4 linked regions of the Oryzias latipes genome follow. The protein of the gene in region 1 purifies or fractionates together with the protein of each later gene. This does not show direct contact. Links are inferred from orthologs where the notes say so. Each region holds a gene or a part of one and is shown on either strand. Other genes may lie near its edges. The genes, in order: eif4b, ubiquitin carboxyl-terminal hydrolase 11, eif3b and eif3f.

Region 1 (4,112 bases):
ATGCACATTAACCCAGGGTTACCAAGTCCAGCGTAATTACGCCAACTCATATCCGGTCTTTTGGAACCGACATACCCAGAGTAAGCAAGTTCAGGTGGATTTCAGCCAGAGTTCAGGGTTAAAGTCGGGGTAGTTTAAACGTGCTTTCTGGAATACCCCCCAGGTGTTAAAAGGGTCAACACATACAGCAACAACAAAAAATAAAAACTTTTGGGTTTAGGATTCACAGCAAAAAGCCCTGGAAGAAAAAAGAAAAAAAAACACAAAAAAACCACACAAACAGCTGCTTTTTAAGTACAGCAATCTTTTCCTTGACATTTTTACAACATGAACTTTCCTCTTGGCCTTCGCAATATAGGATTTTGATTTTTTAAAGAATACACAAAACCGTACTTTGGAAATGTTGTTTTTTTAATTTTCAGAGTACAAACTCTTCACAGGTTTGGCCTCACATCACTATTTAAAAGCAAACAAAGGAATTAAGTGTGATCAAGTCCACATTTTAGAGCAGTTTTATGAAAGCTTAAGCAGAACTCCATCCTTTGCTGGATGTGAGCTTTCTGCAGCTGAACGTCGCCTGCATCCCGCTGCCTTTACCAGCCTGCTGATGCTCGTTTCCTTCAGCACTCCGTAGTATTGAGGCAGTTTCAGAAGAGTCCAACTACATCCCCAGCTCAAACTTTTCCTCCATTAAGAGAATAAAAAACACTGAACTACACACCATTCGTTTTTTTCTGCTCACCGTCTCCATCCAGGTCGTCAGTATCATCTGCCCAACTCGTGGACTTGCTTGGGTAGCTGGGAGGCGCGGCGGGGTTGCCTCCAGAGTCCTCTGCCAGGAAGTCAGTGAGACTGAAGGTCTTCCCCTTCTTGTTCTTCTTCTTAGCTAGAAGATAGACGGACACCACACATCAAGTTAGGAGACGTCATCCTCAAGTTAGTCAAATTTCACAGCCTGGTGCTGAGCGTACCGGCAGATAATATTTGTGTTGCCCAAACAGAGGCGTTATTAGAACGACATTATTGTTCGTAAAACTGCTGTTCTGTCTGTCCTGAAGCATGCAGGTTTTTTCCTCTGTGCAAAAAGATGTGGAGCAGAGTTAGATAAGGGGGGGGGGGGGCACCATGTGTACATGATAAATATTACACTTATTTCCCCATTGGAGAAATGTTCAGGGAGTGGCCTGCAGGCCCAACTGCCAAATTACACCAACACGATGCACCTTTAAGTCAAAACGATGAGAGCTTTAAACCAACTCGACATGCAAAGTTTGTTGCACACGATCACAACGCAACAGTGGAAGGCAGTCCGAAGGACACGTCCATTTTCCCAGAATCTTCACCTGCAGCCAACAGGATTTTCTTACAACAAAATCACCTTCAGTAGGTTTGACTGCACATTTGCTGCAAAGGGCAGATGAGGCAAACTAAGGGCAGCCAGCCACTTATCAGAAGGCGCTTGACTCCTATTAGCTCACGTGGGCCTGAAATGCTGAACACACCCTTCACTACAGTAGACATCTCTTGAGGAAGCCATTTAAAATAAATCCATCAGAACAGCAAGCCACAAAAAAATACAGGGGGCAAAAGCTGGTTTCATGACATTTAATCAATGCCAAAGCAATCAAATATGAAGAGTTGAAGGTCAGACAGTAGTGTAACATTCCTCACAAAGCCCCCAGTTTCTCACGAGGCTTCATTCATGATCCAACCAGAGCAGGTTGGATGTTTTTGGTTTGAGGCAGAAAAGGCGTAGAGACAGAGCTGGTTGTGCTTTTCTGTGAAAATCCCGGCTGTCAGGTGTACAGAAAACCAGACTGATCTTCTATTTCTATAGGAAAAGCCTCGGTATAGTGAACGTCACGTGCTTGCATCACTAGGTAATTTACCAAAAAGCTGCACTAAAGGGGCAAAACTTAGCGGGAGTAGTATATGAGCACGTGTCGGGAGGTTTCTGTTTGGGCTGATCGCTTTTGTCTTTTGTGTCTATGCGGGCTTAGTCAGCAGAAGAGTGCTGACGGGGAAGTATCCCTGCTTAGCCGGCTAGGTTTTAGGGCCTAGTGGCGCACGTAGCAGCGCTGGGATCCAAGTGCGCCATCAACTGCGTCGGACTTGTCCGGCTGAAAGAACCAACCACGACTCCAGTTCTGACGCAGACAGCTCGGCGCTTCGGATGCGACCCAGCAGGCCCAGCTTCACCACAGCCAGCTAAGAAGGGAACGGCGCCGCACACGTGGGGAGCCTCTACTTCAGGCGGCCTGGACGCCTCAGCCCAACCCCTCCTTCAGAACTCGCGCTTGCGCCCGGTGTCCTGAGCGCGAGCGCCACGGCTAGCTGAGTAGCTCTGCAACTGACATGCAGTGTGCCAGCTCTGCGGGAACGACCCGCAACCTATGTCCCCCTGATCAGTCCATGTTATATGGAGCGAAAACAAACAGGTCGCATAGCAACAAACCCCAGAGCCTCCTTTCCGATTTATCCACGAAAACGTTGCGATAACAGCCAGTTGCTCCGTCATTAGCTTAACCCCAGCCATCTGCGTCTTCGGCGGGCTAAACAGCCACCAAACAAGCGTTCAGGCCGGAGACAAGAACGTTAGCCGATCAGGCTACAGCGTGTCATTTTTAAGACGTTTACTGAAAATTTGTTTTGAAGTAACTCGCTGTACACGTTTCTAATAACCGACCCACGGCGCTCACCCACATAAACCTCACCTGACGCCGCCATGTTGGAGAGCGAGTTCCATAAAGTTCCCGGATGAAAGCGTCAGTTGTTTATTGTCGGGAGCGCGCATCGCCGTTTGCGCGCCTCGGCCTCCTCCCTAGTTTCCTGCTTGGACATTACATGGGCCTAACACCCACCCACCCACACACAATTTTGTAAAAAGAAATCCAAAAATATGTATTTTTGAATATTTACTCTGGTCTATATTTACATTTAAATTTTTATAGTTGAAAAATAAAACATAAAACAGCCGTTATGGTGGGGAATCAAAAAATGATATGCATGACTTTATTATTGTTTTCTTTAAATAAAAAAATCAATAAACGCTTTTCTTTAAATTTAGTATCATGTTGAAAATTGTTCTTAAAATACGTAAATACGTTTTTTTAATTTGTTTATTTGCTTGATACTGCCAAAGCTTTTTCTGTTTGCACACATCACCTGTATAAAAGGTGCTGTTTAAACTAAGCTGCCTTGTACTGGTTTAGGGAACTTAGTGTGAAAAAAAATATATTGTAATGGTAACCAATGTTGGCGTTGTGGACCCATGCACAGTGGTCCAAATCTCTAAAATTATACAATTGAACTACCTTTTTTAATACATAAATTTACACTTGTATATTATTTTTACTGTTTTTTGTTTTTCTTTGTTTTGTCTACAGCTTTTTAAAAAATATTTGCAAGTAGAAATCTGTTTCAGACATATGTGCAAAGTTTACACACGGCTTGTAGGCTATTTAATAAATATGCAACACACACACGTACAAAACAAAATAAAAGTAAAATCTTACCTCTTAATCACTTAAATATTGTGCTGCGCATATCTTAAAAAAGTACTCTGATTGGTCAAAAGTATCAAGACCAGTAAACCTTTTTACTCAGTTCTTCATAACTGCAGCAGCTGTAAATAAAGCAAACAAATAACCGCTTTTTCAGAGGGCGTTTTCTCAGGTTGCCATCCACTCCCACTAAAGGCATCAATGCATAAAACTCATTTACACAAGACATCCCATCAAAGGGGAAGGCTGCATTTTGTCCTCATATTTACCTTATAACCTTTTTGCTTATTTTTAACAAGCCACCATTTATGAAAGCTGATAGGATTGAGAGTGAACAACCTTTAAAACAAGTGACAATTCTTATAAAATTCAAAACACAGACCTGAAGCTTCTTGTAGAGGCCACAAAGTGGAAACTTAAGCATTTTATTTATATTTTTTGTGTTTTAACAATGTTATTATTTATAATGTTATATGAAATGTGACCCAAGAGACAAAAACCAATTGCTATTCTAGTCTTCTCTCCAAAGTTGAAATGGAAACACAGCTGCTGTGCTTTCTTCAAAAGAAAGGTGGCGCTAAAAGTCTATAGGAGGAGCCGGAAGATGTG
Region 2 (4,340 bases), on another chromosome or scaffold:
TTTCATGTTTATTGTACAATTACGGTATGAAGCCCATTGAGATGACTATTGTTGTAGTATTGGGCTATGTAAATGAAACCGAATTAAACTTGTTTCCTGTTCACTTGGTAAAGGACGCTGCGTCACTTTTGAAGCACAAATCACACTGTCCATCTCCTTAGAAACACAATAAAAGGCATTTCCTGTTCTGCTGCATTCAGTTCATTTCAGCCAAAAAAATGCTGCTGTTTAAAGTGTAAAGGCTAAAAAAACATTCATTCATTCATTCATTCATTCATTCATTCATTCATTCATTCATCTTCTAAACCTGTTTTGTCTCTTTCAGGGTCACTAGGCTGCTGGAGCCTATCCCAGCCACTCCTGGGCGAAGGGAAGGGACATCCTGGACAGGTCGCCAGTCTGTCGCAGGGTCACACCCATGAACACTCACATTAATGACAATTAGTGACAATTTAGAGTCTTCGTTTTGTTTTTGTTTTGTTTTTTTGTTGGGGGGGGGGGGGGTTAATTGGTAACTACCAGAAATGTTGATGAGCCTTTCCAAGAGCCGCATTTCAAAAGTGGTACATATTAGAAGTTCATAGAAGTGTTATCCAAACAGATGCTTTCAGGCTTTTCCTTCCTTGCACAGACAAAGCTTCTTTTGTGTGAGGAAACATGACAACACAAAGGCAGATGGCAAAACTGGATCTGAATGACCAGGCAATATCTGCTGAAACTCAAATTTACTGTCAGGCATGGTGGTGGAGGTATGGTGATAAGGGCTTGTTTTGTTACCACAGCACTTTGATCAGCAGGAGTTAATTTTCTTCAAGCCCAGGAGTTGTCTACAAAGAAGTGTGAGGTGTTCAGACTGGCAGTGGACTTTGTGTCGGACAATTGGACACATGAGGCCCAGAACCAAGTTAAGATCCAGACTCTCATTTGACTGACACTTTGTTGGGATCATAACACAACAGGACCAAAATGTTTGCGTTCAAGTGACAAAAAGAAGAACGGGCCATGTTTTTCTTCTTCTAATAACATCCAGTTCCTGCTGCTGAAAAACACCACAAGCAGCTGAATCTGAACTAACGAAACTATAAAAATGCGAATAATGAAGATGAAATGACGGGACAGCTGTTTAATAGTTGTAGATAAGACAAATAGGTGTGTTTACATGTCCTAAAGTAAGCCGGCTTCTAAACCCGTAAACTAGTTTCTCCACTGACCAGGTTTATCTGTACAGCTAATCATGTTCAATTTGAGAGAATAAGTTTAGCTAAAAGTTCGTCTCTCTGTGGTCCTGAGGCGGAACTTCTAGCTGAATTGAAGGAGGGAGGAAGATTGGCAGAACAGGAGATGGGGCAATGGAAATTAAACAGATGGGGGGGGGGCTTGTAGGTGTATGTGCAGAATGCATTCTATTTAGAGTCTACTGGAAGATGCTGTGGTTCCTCCAGAACAGAAGAGATGGATATTGGGTGATGAAACGAGCGTCTGAACCACTTGAAGGGATTTGTGGAGAACTCTGGGGAGTCCACTCATCCATCTATGTTCTTCCGCTCGTCCGGGTCACGGGGGCAGCAGTCCAAGCAAAGAGTCTAAGACCCTTCCTGCAGCTCCTCTGGGGGGGTCCAGAGGCATTCCCAGTCAGAAGATGCAGTCTCTCCAGCATGTCCAGTCATCCGGGGGCCACTGCCCTGTGGGACATCCCAGGAGCTTCCAGGAGCAGGTGCCCAAGTCTCCTCTGGATGTGGAGGAGCAGCAGCTCTACTCTAAGATCTCTCAAGACGGCCGAGCTTCTCACCCTGACTAAGGGCACAGCAAGAGTCTCAGAGGTCAATGCAGAATTTGACACAGGTGTGGATGAAGATGGGGCTGAGTTGCTTCAGTGGTGTCCCTTTTAGATTTCTTTTGCTGAGTATTCATTTGTTTGTTATTTGGTTAGCAGGGATGGGCTCAAAAACCTGTTTCCGGATCTTAGAAGCAGGTTTGGAGAATGCTCGAGTCTTCTTTGCCAGCTAACTAGTTTCACTTGATCTGATCATCTCCCCACTTATTCGAGCAAAAAAAAAAAAAAAAAAAAAAAAATCACAGCTGATAGTTAAACTGTCATTATCAACCGCCCAAAACAACCACATATGTCAGACTCAGAGCACAGAAACAAACGAGTTCCGTTTTGGAAGCAACACTCGAGTCAATGTAATAATAAATCCCAGTTTGTTTCTCAATCAGAAGAAGCGAAACTGAAAGCAAACTGTTGCGCCTCACAAACAGATCACGGAGCCGACAGAAAATATACTGCCACAAAAAATTATTTTGTGTTATAATTGTATTAAATCCCATAATCGAAAAGCTTCCGTGGCGACTGTGAACGTCTCATTAAAGCAGGGGCGTTAGCGTTAGCTTCACCACAGCTAACAGGAGAAGCTAATGGCGAGCACCGAGGACTTCAACCTCTACAACGAGAACTCCACAGCAGCTCGACTCTACCGTGAAACTCCTCGCTCGTGACAACAGCGGCTTTCTGTCACTATGTGTCTGTGTAACAGGGAGCGGCGGTGGCGGGCGAACACTCACCAACTGTCCCCGGCACGGAGCTCACACTCCCGCAACAGACACTCGATCTCCCGCCGTTGGGTCTCCAGACCCGGAGGCTCTGCGGCGGAACAGCGGCTGTTGGCCGTCATGGTGGGAATCAATCGGTCATAAATGTCGTAACTGTAATGAACATCAACGTGACGAAATATATACGGCAGCAGTCGACCGCAGCATTGAAGAACGGGGGGAAAGAAGCAACACAGAACTGTGTTTGCGGAAGTAGGAAGTGGCGGTGACCCGGATGATGACAACTTCCGGATCTGAACGTCCCAGTTTTGGTTATAGTTCTTTTTTTTTCTTTTACTTTATTTGATCAAACAGGCAATCTGACTGTGTTCATTAACAATGACTCTGTAACAAGTAAACCTAACTGAGGAAAAATAAATAAAAGAAGTAACATGAAAAAAGGATGACATGAATAAATAAATTAAACCTCACTCACACATATTTGTAAAAAAAGGGCTTGGAATAAATTACATTTTTTTAATATGTCCAGTAGTAAACTTGTTATAAATACATTTTAAAGCATTAAAATAACTGTCTTGCAAATGTTATTAAATAAAATGAAATTAGGCCGTATTTTTTTTCCATATGAAGGTATGAATAAAACATTTTGAGATTAACAGCAGATTGTTTAAGGCTTAGTCCATGTGTGAGTCCTTCAGGTCGATCCCAAAGATGATGTTGTCCAAAGTGAGGTTGATTTGTAGCTGGACAGAGCCAGTCCAATAGATGTTTCCAGAAAGTCTTGGAGTGTGAACAATGAAAGAAAAGATAGTTTCTGTTCCTGAGTCACAGAAAGTACAATAGTCACATTCCGCATTGAATCTCTTTCTAGCAGTTCACTGGATGGATATTATCTTGTTTAAAATTTCATGATGAATTTCTTTTGTTTTTGAGGTTACTGGGACTTTTAAATAATTGGTTCTCCATTTTTTAATTTATGCTTCAGAAAATTTTTGGAGAATCAAATCAAATCAAACTTTATTTATAAAATAGCGCTTCTCATGCATTTTGTGCAGCTCGAAGCGCTTTACCATTAAGAACGGAAAACACACAATATTACAGTAAAAACCCAACCCACCCTTCACCCTTCCCACTCCCCTCCGTTAAAACACATGACCCATGGCCCCCACGTACAAAGAATAATGACTATGTAGCTTAAATAAATAAATAAGCAAACAAACAAACAAACAAGTATAGCTTGGCTCTGCTGTGAGGAAACAGTATTTGGGAATCCTTTCATACCAGGAGCCAGCCCGGCCATGGGAGCATCGCCACGGCGCCCACCCAGACTGGGACAACACTGGGGTTCACTTCACAGCCGTGAAGCTGCAAAGTTAGACCCCAGCTGCCCCAGCAAGGGCAAGAACTGCAGCAACAACCACCGACCCTGGAGGAAAAGATCCCCACAAGAAACACTGGGGCTAAAATCATGATAAGACACTAACATTAAAGACATAAGATGTATATAAAAACAGAAAATTGAGAATAGAATTTTTGTTTGATTGCACGGGATAGAGATGACTGTTTAAACGTTTACGTAGTATCTTGTTTGGTTTTTCTTTTTCTGTAAAGTCTTGATCCATGACACAGAGATATAAGATATCAAGATTAGTATTTTCAATAAGTTGTTTTATTGTTGAGGGAATTGCCTTGGTTATTTTGTTACATTCAGCTTTTTTGCATTTTACATTATACGTAGAAAAGAAGCTTTCAAATGATAATAAATTACCTTGATTGTCCATAAGGTGGAA
Region 3 (2,231 bases), on another chromosome or scaffold:
AAACTCCAGTAAGCAAAGCTAAAAAATGAATGTAAATAGTTTTAATTGTTGCTTAAAACACAGTCTGTCTTGTTTTTCAGTCAATGGGTTTGCTGGACAAGAAGAGTCTGAAGATTAATGGGATCAAGTGAGTTTTTCTGTAAGTGTTGGTGACTGGTTTTGTGTTTGGATCTTAATAACTGTGTGTGTGTGTCCATCTTTCAGGGACTTCTCGTGGTCTCCTGGTGACAACATCATAGCTTTCTGGGTACCCGAGGACAAGGACATCCCGGCAAGAGTGACTCTGATGCAGATGCCTTCCCGTCAGGAGATCCGGGTCCGTAACCTCTTCAATGTTGTCGACTGCAAACTGCACTGGCAGAGAAACGGGGATTATCTGTGTGTGAAGGTGGACAGAACGCCCAAAGGGACTCAGGTAACCAAAAAACGGTTGACTTTCACCTCTCGTAGTGAGGAAAGGAGAAGTCTCATATTATTGTTGGTTTCAGGGTGTTGTGACCAACTTTGAAATCTTCAGAATGAGGGAGAAGCAGGTTCCTGTTGATGTGGTGGAGATGAAGGGTGAGAGTTTATTTTGTGCCTTACGTCAGCTGCTGGCAATTCTTCCACAAGAAAGTAGTCCCATGTGGTCCTGTGATGTTTTTTTCTTTAGAAAGCATCATAGCCTTTGCCTGGGAGCCAAACGGCAGCAAGTTTGCCGTTCTGCATGGAGAGTCTCCAAGGATCAACGCCTCTTTCTATCACGTCAAAAACAACGGCAAAATTGAGCTCATCAGTAAGTCTTGCTTTTAGGCTATAGAGATTTTTGGTTCTTATTGACGTCCATTAGCACAAAATGTTGACTTTTTTTGTGTGTTTTGCTTTTTATAGAGATGTTTGACAAGCAGCAGGCCAACAGCATTTTCTGGAGTCCTCAGGGTCAGTTTATGGTGCTGGCAGGTCTCAGGAGGTCAGTAGTGTTTTTGTTAGAAATAAGAAATAATCAGCCAATGAAAAACTTTACCAATTTTTCTGATATCTTGTGTGAGAGCTAAGCTCCTGATTCAAGTGCTGTTCTTAGGCTGTTAGTTTGTCTTCCTCAACTTTTGGTTTTGTGTGTGTGTGTGTGTGTGTGTGCAGCATGAATGGAGCTCTTGCCTTTGTAGACACATCCGACTGTACCATGATGAACATAGCAGAGCACTACATGGCTTCAGATGTGGAGTGGGACCCAACTGGTCGCTACGTCGTCACATCCGTCTCCTGGTGGAGCCACAAGGTGCGTTTGGATTTAACACCATTCCACGCGTTTTAACCGGAAAGCAAAAAAATCTCACACTCGCATAATTTTCTACTCATCCAGGTGGACAATGCATACTGGGTGTGGACATTCCAGGGTCGACTCCTTCAGAAAAACAACAAGGACCGCTTCTGCCAGCTACTGTGGAGACCCCGACCTCCCACTCTGCTGAGTGCAGATCAGATCAAGGTAACTTTTATCTGTAGCGTCTGTAGGGTAGTACAGAACAGTCGACTGACTCTTTTCCCTTCTTCTGCAGATGATCAAGAAGGATCTGAAGAAATACTCAAAGACCTTTGAGCAGAAAGATCGTCTGAGTCAGTCTAAGGCTTCAAAGGTTCGACATCTTACCCGTTTTTTTCCTCCACTCCCTCATTGTGCTGTGTGATCATGCATGTGTACGCTCCATAAGATTCACATGGTGTTTGTTTCTATAGGAACTGGTGGACAAGCGAAGAACCATGCTTGAAGACTACCGTCGCTACCGAGAGGAAGCCCTCAAGAACTATCAGGAACAGAAGAGCATGCGCCTGGAGCTCAGAGGAGGTGGGGCTTTGCATTACAATGTATGGGCTTGTTTGCATTTTTGTCTTAATGGATAACATTTGTTTTCTTTTCCGTTTGGTGCAGGAGTGGACACGGACGAGCTGGACAGCAATGTGGATGACTGGGAGGAGGAGACCATTGAGTTTTTTTGCGACGAAAAAATCATTGCCCTCGACGATCTGTAGTCCCCCACGCAGGTGACTTTTGTTGTTTTGGTTTATACACACGTGGACAGAAATGTTAGCGCACCACATTCACTGACACAACTGTATAAAATGTATTCAAGCATTTAGCTCTGGGCATTGATCATTTTAATAGTGTGAAGTTTTTTTCCGGTGTTATAGGAAGGTTCTAATGATTCATTTAAAGGCAAATGCATTTTTTCTACTCATTATGTTAAAAAAAA
Region 4 (4,203 bases), on another chromosome or scaffold:
ATTTGAATGTATATTTAATGATAAAGATCAATATTTTGCTTTGGATAAAAGAACTTGAAACACTTTAACGGAGTCTCACGTGCTGTCTACTGTTACTTGAATAGGACAAAAAGTACTAAATGAAGTTACTGAGGAAATACAAAGTAAATATATTTAAAGTTTTTTCATAATTATTCCTCCACTTTAAGAGTTCTGTGCATTTGACCAAATCCTCTTTATAATCTGAAATAAAGAGTTTAAACACTATTGTCACTTTGAAACCTCAAAGAGTAAATGTAAGCTGAATAAACACGCAATACCACTGTCACAAATACTCAACATGTTTTCTTAATTAGTGGTAAACTTAAATTTGAGATGTTCTTATATGTAAGATCCACCCCACCCCAAAGAAAACATCATGATGCGACTGTTTAACATTTTATTTGCTTCAGCCAAACAATAAGAAAGTTTAAATAGTTCATTTCAGGAGAGCAGCACCAGCTTCTCGTGCAGGGCAATCTGTGCCTGGGTGAGGTTGGACAGGTACGTCACCATCAACAGGTCCTGCAGCAAACCACAAGCACGTCCATGTAGAAAATACACACAACTGAATTTCACAGAAACAATTCCAGTTCCACAGTCGTACAGATGCTAGTATCTTTTAATCTTCACAATGTCAAGAAGTACAAAAGGGTAAAAAAAAACCTCATGCAAATTGTAATTACAGTATCAGGGGAAGCACTTACATTGATGTTAGAATTGAGCATGTTCTCAAAGTCCTCAGGTGGGATGGTCGGCACCTTGTTCACCAGGTCTGTGAGGAACCGGCCAACGCTGTTATCTGCTGCCACTTTCCCAGACTGGAACAGATCCAACAGGTTTTCACCAGAGATCACCCACTTCACTTTGTCATATGTGCCAACACAGGATGTCTTCTTGTTTTATTTTTTTTGTGACAGCCTTAATACTCACCAACACATCGTCAATGTATGCCAGCACCGTAGTCAGCATGTCCTGTACCCTGGCTGCAGCTCCACCCACCTGGGACAGGTCAGAGGTCAGACCCTTGGAGCGACTCGGAGCATCCCGTGTCCTTTGAAGAAGGTCCACTAAAAACAAACAAATATTCAAGTCCAGCTATAGAAATGTACATTTGCTTTTGAACAAATCTTACAAACGCAAACATACATTTCTGAAGTGCATTTGAAACGGGGACAAACATTTTTTAACCCAATAACTCAAAAGTAAGACTTTTTACCACCAGAGTATCTTCTGCTTACCGCCTATTCTCTCAGTGTCATAATAGATATATTTGACGGTGAGTGGGGTAAACATGACGCCGACGGTCTTTCCTGGCACACCCATCTGTGCGCTGTGTAAGACATACACAAACACATTTAGATTCCTCTCAACCTCAACACGACGACACAAGTTGGCAGCACAGATCCGCTTACCTGAGATAGGCCCGGATGTTCATTTTGCCACTCTGCAATGCCGTGTCCACAGTCAGGTGAATGGGGTTGGAGGCTTCACGGCTGTAATACTCATGGATGAGCACAGAATGTTCAGTGATGTCAAAGCCTGTGGCATACCTGGTGGAAAAAGGTCACCTTTTAAATGTATCTGAAAACTTTAGCTGTTGAGTATAGGTATCCGGATACAAACGGCTAACGCACCATCCGATGATGACCTCTGTGGGCGACACCCTCTTGTGAAGCTCATACATGTTTTTTGCAAATTCCATGTCAACAGCGACCTGTTGTCAATAGGACAGACAGAAGATCACTCCTTCAAAAAAGGAGGAACGTGCACATTGTATTTGAGGTGTGTTGAGAAAACAAATAGGATTGTGGCAGTAACTTTTTCACCGTTTCAAACTAGAAACGTATTCTTCTTAAAGTCGCCTCATGAAGCATAACGTTGATGACACAGCATCAGGTGAATGCAAAAGGATCAGCCGAACACATTTGTATTGCTGGTAGTCAGGAGGATAGACACATTTGTATAGTTTTCAGTTTGTTAGTTCAGGTGTTGAAGACAGACAAACTAGTTTACTGATCATTTCTGAGCAGCAGAATTATTGTACGCCATCACAGCAAAACAAGCTGCAAGTGTTAAAAAGGGCAACAAATACAAACAAATCCTGTTAAATGTTACATAAATTTATGAAGTACAGAAGTATCGATCATTCAAATAAACACAGAAGTCATCTTAAATGCAATATGATTCATCATGCTATAGGTACAAGCTTTCTCCAAGATTTTAAGAGAAAATAAAGTTTGAGACATTTTTAACCTTAAGTTGAAGTGCAAAACAATTAAATTTCGCTAATGTTTAACACTCACCTCATCTTCTGACTCATTGTGGGGGACAGAGAAGCAGTTCGTCACCTCAATTGAGTGTTTGTCAACTGTACCTGAAAGCGACAAAAAAGTTAAACCGTTATTGATATAGATGCTTTGTATTATGTATATAATTCATGACAATTCACTCGCTAAAATTCTTTTTTGTTTGTTTTGTTTACACAAATCGTAATGTTGAAAACATGTCGGCTAGCTAGCAGCTGGACTTCACCATTGGTTTAAACTAAGCCAGCGTGCGTTAGCTAGCAAGCTAAAGCTAGCCGTATGCTAGCCACCGCTAGCGCTCTGAAAACATCCATCCTCCTGCGACAAGACGTAAACATGAATTTAATGCTTACCCAAAAGGGTTCCGATCACACGGCTGGCTCCCTCATTCCTTCGCTCATACGAGTCGCAGATAGATGCGAGAACGACGGGATGGATTTTCACCACTGGCCCGTACACCGACATCTTGAAAAAAGAGGACCGTTTACCGGCTCGAGCGAACACATATACTGCCACCTAGAGGCTGGAGGCCGAATGGGCAGCAACCAATGAACAGATTTAAAAATAAACTCACACATATTTTATTAATATGACTAAATATAGATACACAGGGGGCGATTGTGCTGTTGACAGTGCTGCTAATAATGTTTTTTAATAGAAGTGTTTTAATAATAAAAAACAACAAAATCGGTTTTTAAACCAACACTAATGTTATTTTATATCAAGAATGTAGTGCGTTTGATTTTATGTTTTATGTCCACTGTTAATCAGGTGTATGCGGTTACATTGTAAGTGAATTAAGTCCACATTTCCTCTGTGAACTCCGCAAACAGGCTCCGGGGGGGGGTGTCTCTCCCTGTTGTGCGTCTGAGGCAGTGAGGTGGACGGGGGCTGCACTGATGACAGCCTCCTGCGTCGCTCACAGCCTCACTCACACCTGACCGACTCCATCGGACGCGCAGATGATGGAGCTGCTGCCGGGTTGCCCCTCTGCCACCATTTCGCACATCCACTGCACGACAAATGTTCTCCCGCTGCCTTCAACTCTTTACTCTCGATAATTGTCTGGATGGGTCGTGATTTTGGGTTTTTCCTGCGCGGTTTACTGAGTGCTTTTTCTTCTTCTTTTGTTTTCCTGGAGGAGCGAACAGGAGTGTACTGATGCGGCGTCGCTGCTAAACACCAGAAATGGGTGTCATCGAAACAAAGGTGCCAGAACCGGCTCGTTTTTGGACCCCGTTTCTCCTGATCTGCCCATAAAAGAAGATCTTATCTACAAGTTGCTGCACCAAACAGGTAGGATTTAGCTCGTTCTCTGCGGCGTACTGACTCACGGGCATCCTTTACTGAGGCTATTTCTGATGCATCCATCTGAGGTGGTGCGTCATCTTCATAGCCGCTATATAATTACATCAGTCTCCTGCGTCCATCCACCAGCTGTGGTTGGACGCAGGACGCACGACCCGCGCTCCATTTTACTGTGCAAATATTCCCCTCACACCTTCTTAACCCAGACTGCTCTCCGACACTTATGTAAGACATCCCAATAGGACTATAATGCAAGTCCTCAAAATTTAAAATAGCAGTAAAGTGCACTTACACAACGCGCACACACACTGAAGGACCACGCATGCACCCAGCCCGAGGCGTTTTATAAAGGCTGCTTCATTAAATGTGCATGGTCAGATGTGCACAGAGATCATGATGTCTTTAAGGGAACAAGATCACAGATTTATTTGTCTGTAGAGTTTAGTTTCATGAGACAAATGCCTTTAAGAGGTTTAAAGAAAACAGTAAATGTTCACCTGTATTTATGACAATCTTTAAAGAGGATCATTCGATTTACTTCAGACAATAAATGGCCCCAACAGGTCGA

What was found.
Region 2: the proteins of eif4b (region 1) and ubiquitin carboxyl-terminal hydrolase 11 purify together in Homo sapiens (affinity purification with western blotting; 3 studies listed by BioGRID, with this or other methods). This does not show direct contact. The link is inferred for Oryzias latipes from reciprocal best matches to the Homo sapiens genes EIF4B and USP11.
Region 3: the proteins of eif4b (region 1) and eif3b purify together in Homo sapiens (affinity purification with mass spectrometry; 3 studies listed by BioGRID and IntAct, with this or other methods). This does not show direct contact. The link is inferred for Oryzias latipes from reciprocal best matches to the Homo sapiens genes EIF4B and EIF3B.
Region 4: the proteins of eif4b (region 1) and eif3f purify together in Homo sapiens (affinity purification with mass spectrometry; 3 studies listed by BioGRID). This does not show direct contact. The link is inferred for Oryzias latipes from reciprocal best matches to the Homo sapiens genes EIF4B and EIF3F.

Annotation. Positions count from the first base shown.
Region 1 is NC_019863.2:29,761,166-29,765,277, forward strand, and holds the start of eif4b (eukaryotic translation initiation factor 4B), read right to left. Parts: upstream 2,812-4,112; 5' UTR 2,728-2,811; coding exon 2,715-2,727; intron 887-2,714; coding exon 722-886; intron 1-721. UniProt on the Homo sapiens protein: Required for the binding of mRNA to ribosomes. Functions in close association with EIF4-F and EIF4-A. Binds near the 5'-terminal cap of mRNA in presence of EIF-4F and ATP.
Region 2 is NC_019865.2:28,608,242-28,612,581, reverse strand, and holds the start of ubiquitin carboxyl-terminal hydrolase 11, read right to left. Parts: upstream 2,822-4,340; 5' UTR 2,673-2,821; coding exon 2,563-2,672; intron 1-2,562.
Region 3 is NC_019859.2:21,379,844-21,382,074, forward strand, and holds part of eif3b (eukaryotic translation initiation factor 3 subunit B), read left to right. Parts: coding exon 1-8; intron 9-80; coding exon 81-127; intron 128-204; coding exon 205-415; intron 416-488; coding exon 489-561; intron 562-652; coding exon 653-775; intron 776-870; coding exon 871-949; intron 950-1,119; coding exon 1,120-1,258; intron 1,259-1,342; coding exon 1,343-1,468; intron 1,469-1,538; coding exon 1,539-1,616; intron 1,617-1,716; coding exon 1,717-1,825; intron 1,826-1,909; coding exon 1,910-2,010; 3' UTR 2,011-2,022; intron 2,023-2,231.
Region 4 is NC_019875.2:2,469,822-2,474,024, reverse strand, and holds eif3f (eukaryotic translation initiation factor 3 subunit F), read right to left. Parts: upstream 2,834-4,203; 5' UTR 2,793-2,833; coding exon 2,681-2,792; intron 2,396-2,680; coding exon 2,325-2,395; intron 1,736-2,324; coding exon 1,656-1,735; intron 1,572-1,655; coding exon 1,434-1,571; intron 1,352-1,433; coding exon 1,260-1,351; intron 1,089-1,259; coding exon 952-1,088; intron 840-951; coding exon 726-839; intron 544-725; coding exon 463-543; 3' UTR 402-462; downstream 1-401. UniProt on the Homo sapiens protein: Component of the eukaryotic translation initiation factor 3 (eIF-3) complex, which is required for several steps in the initiation of protein synthesis.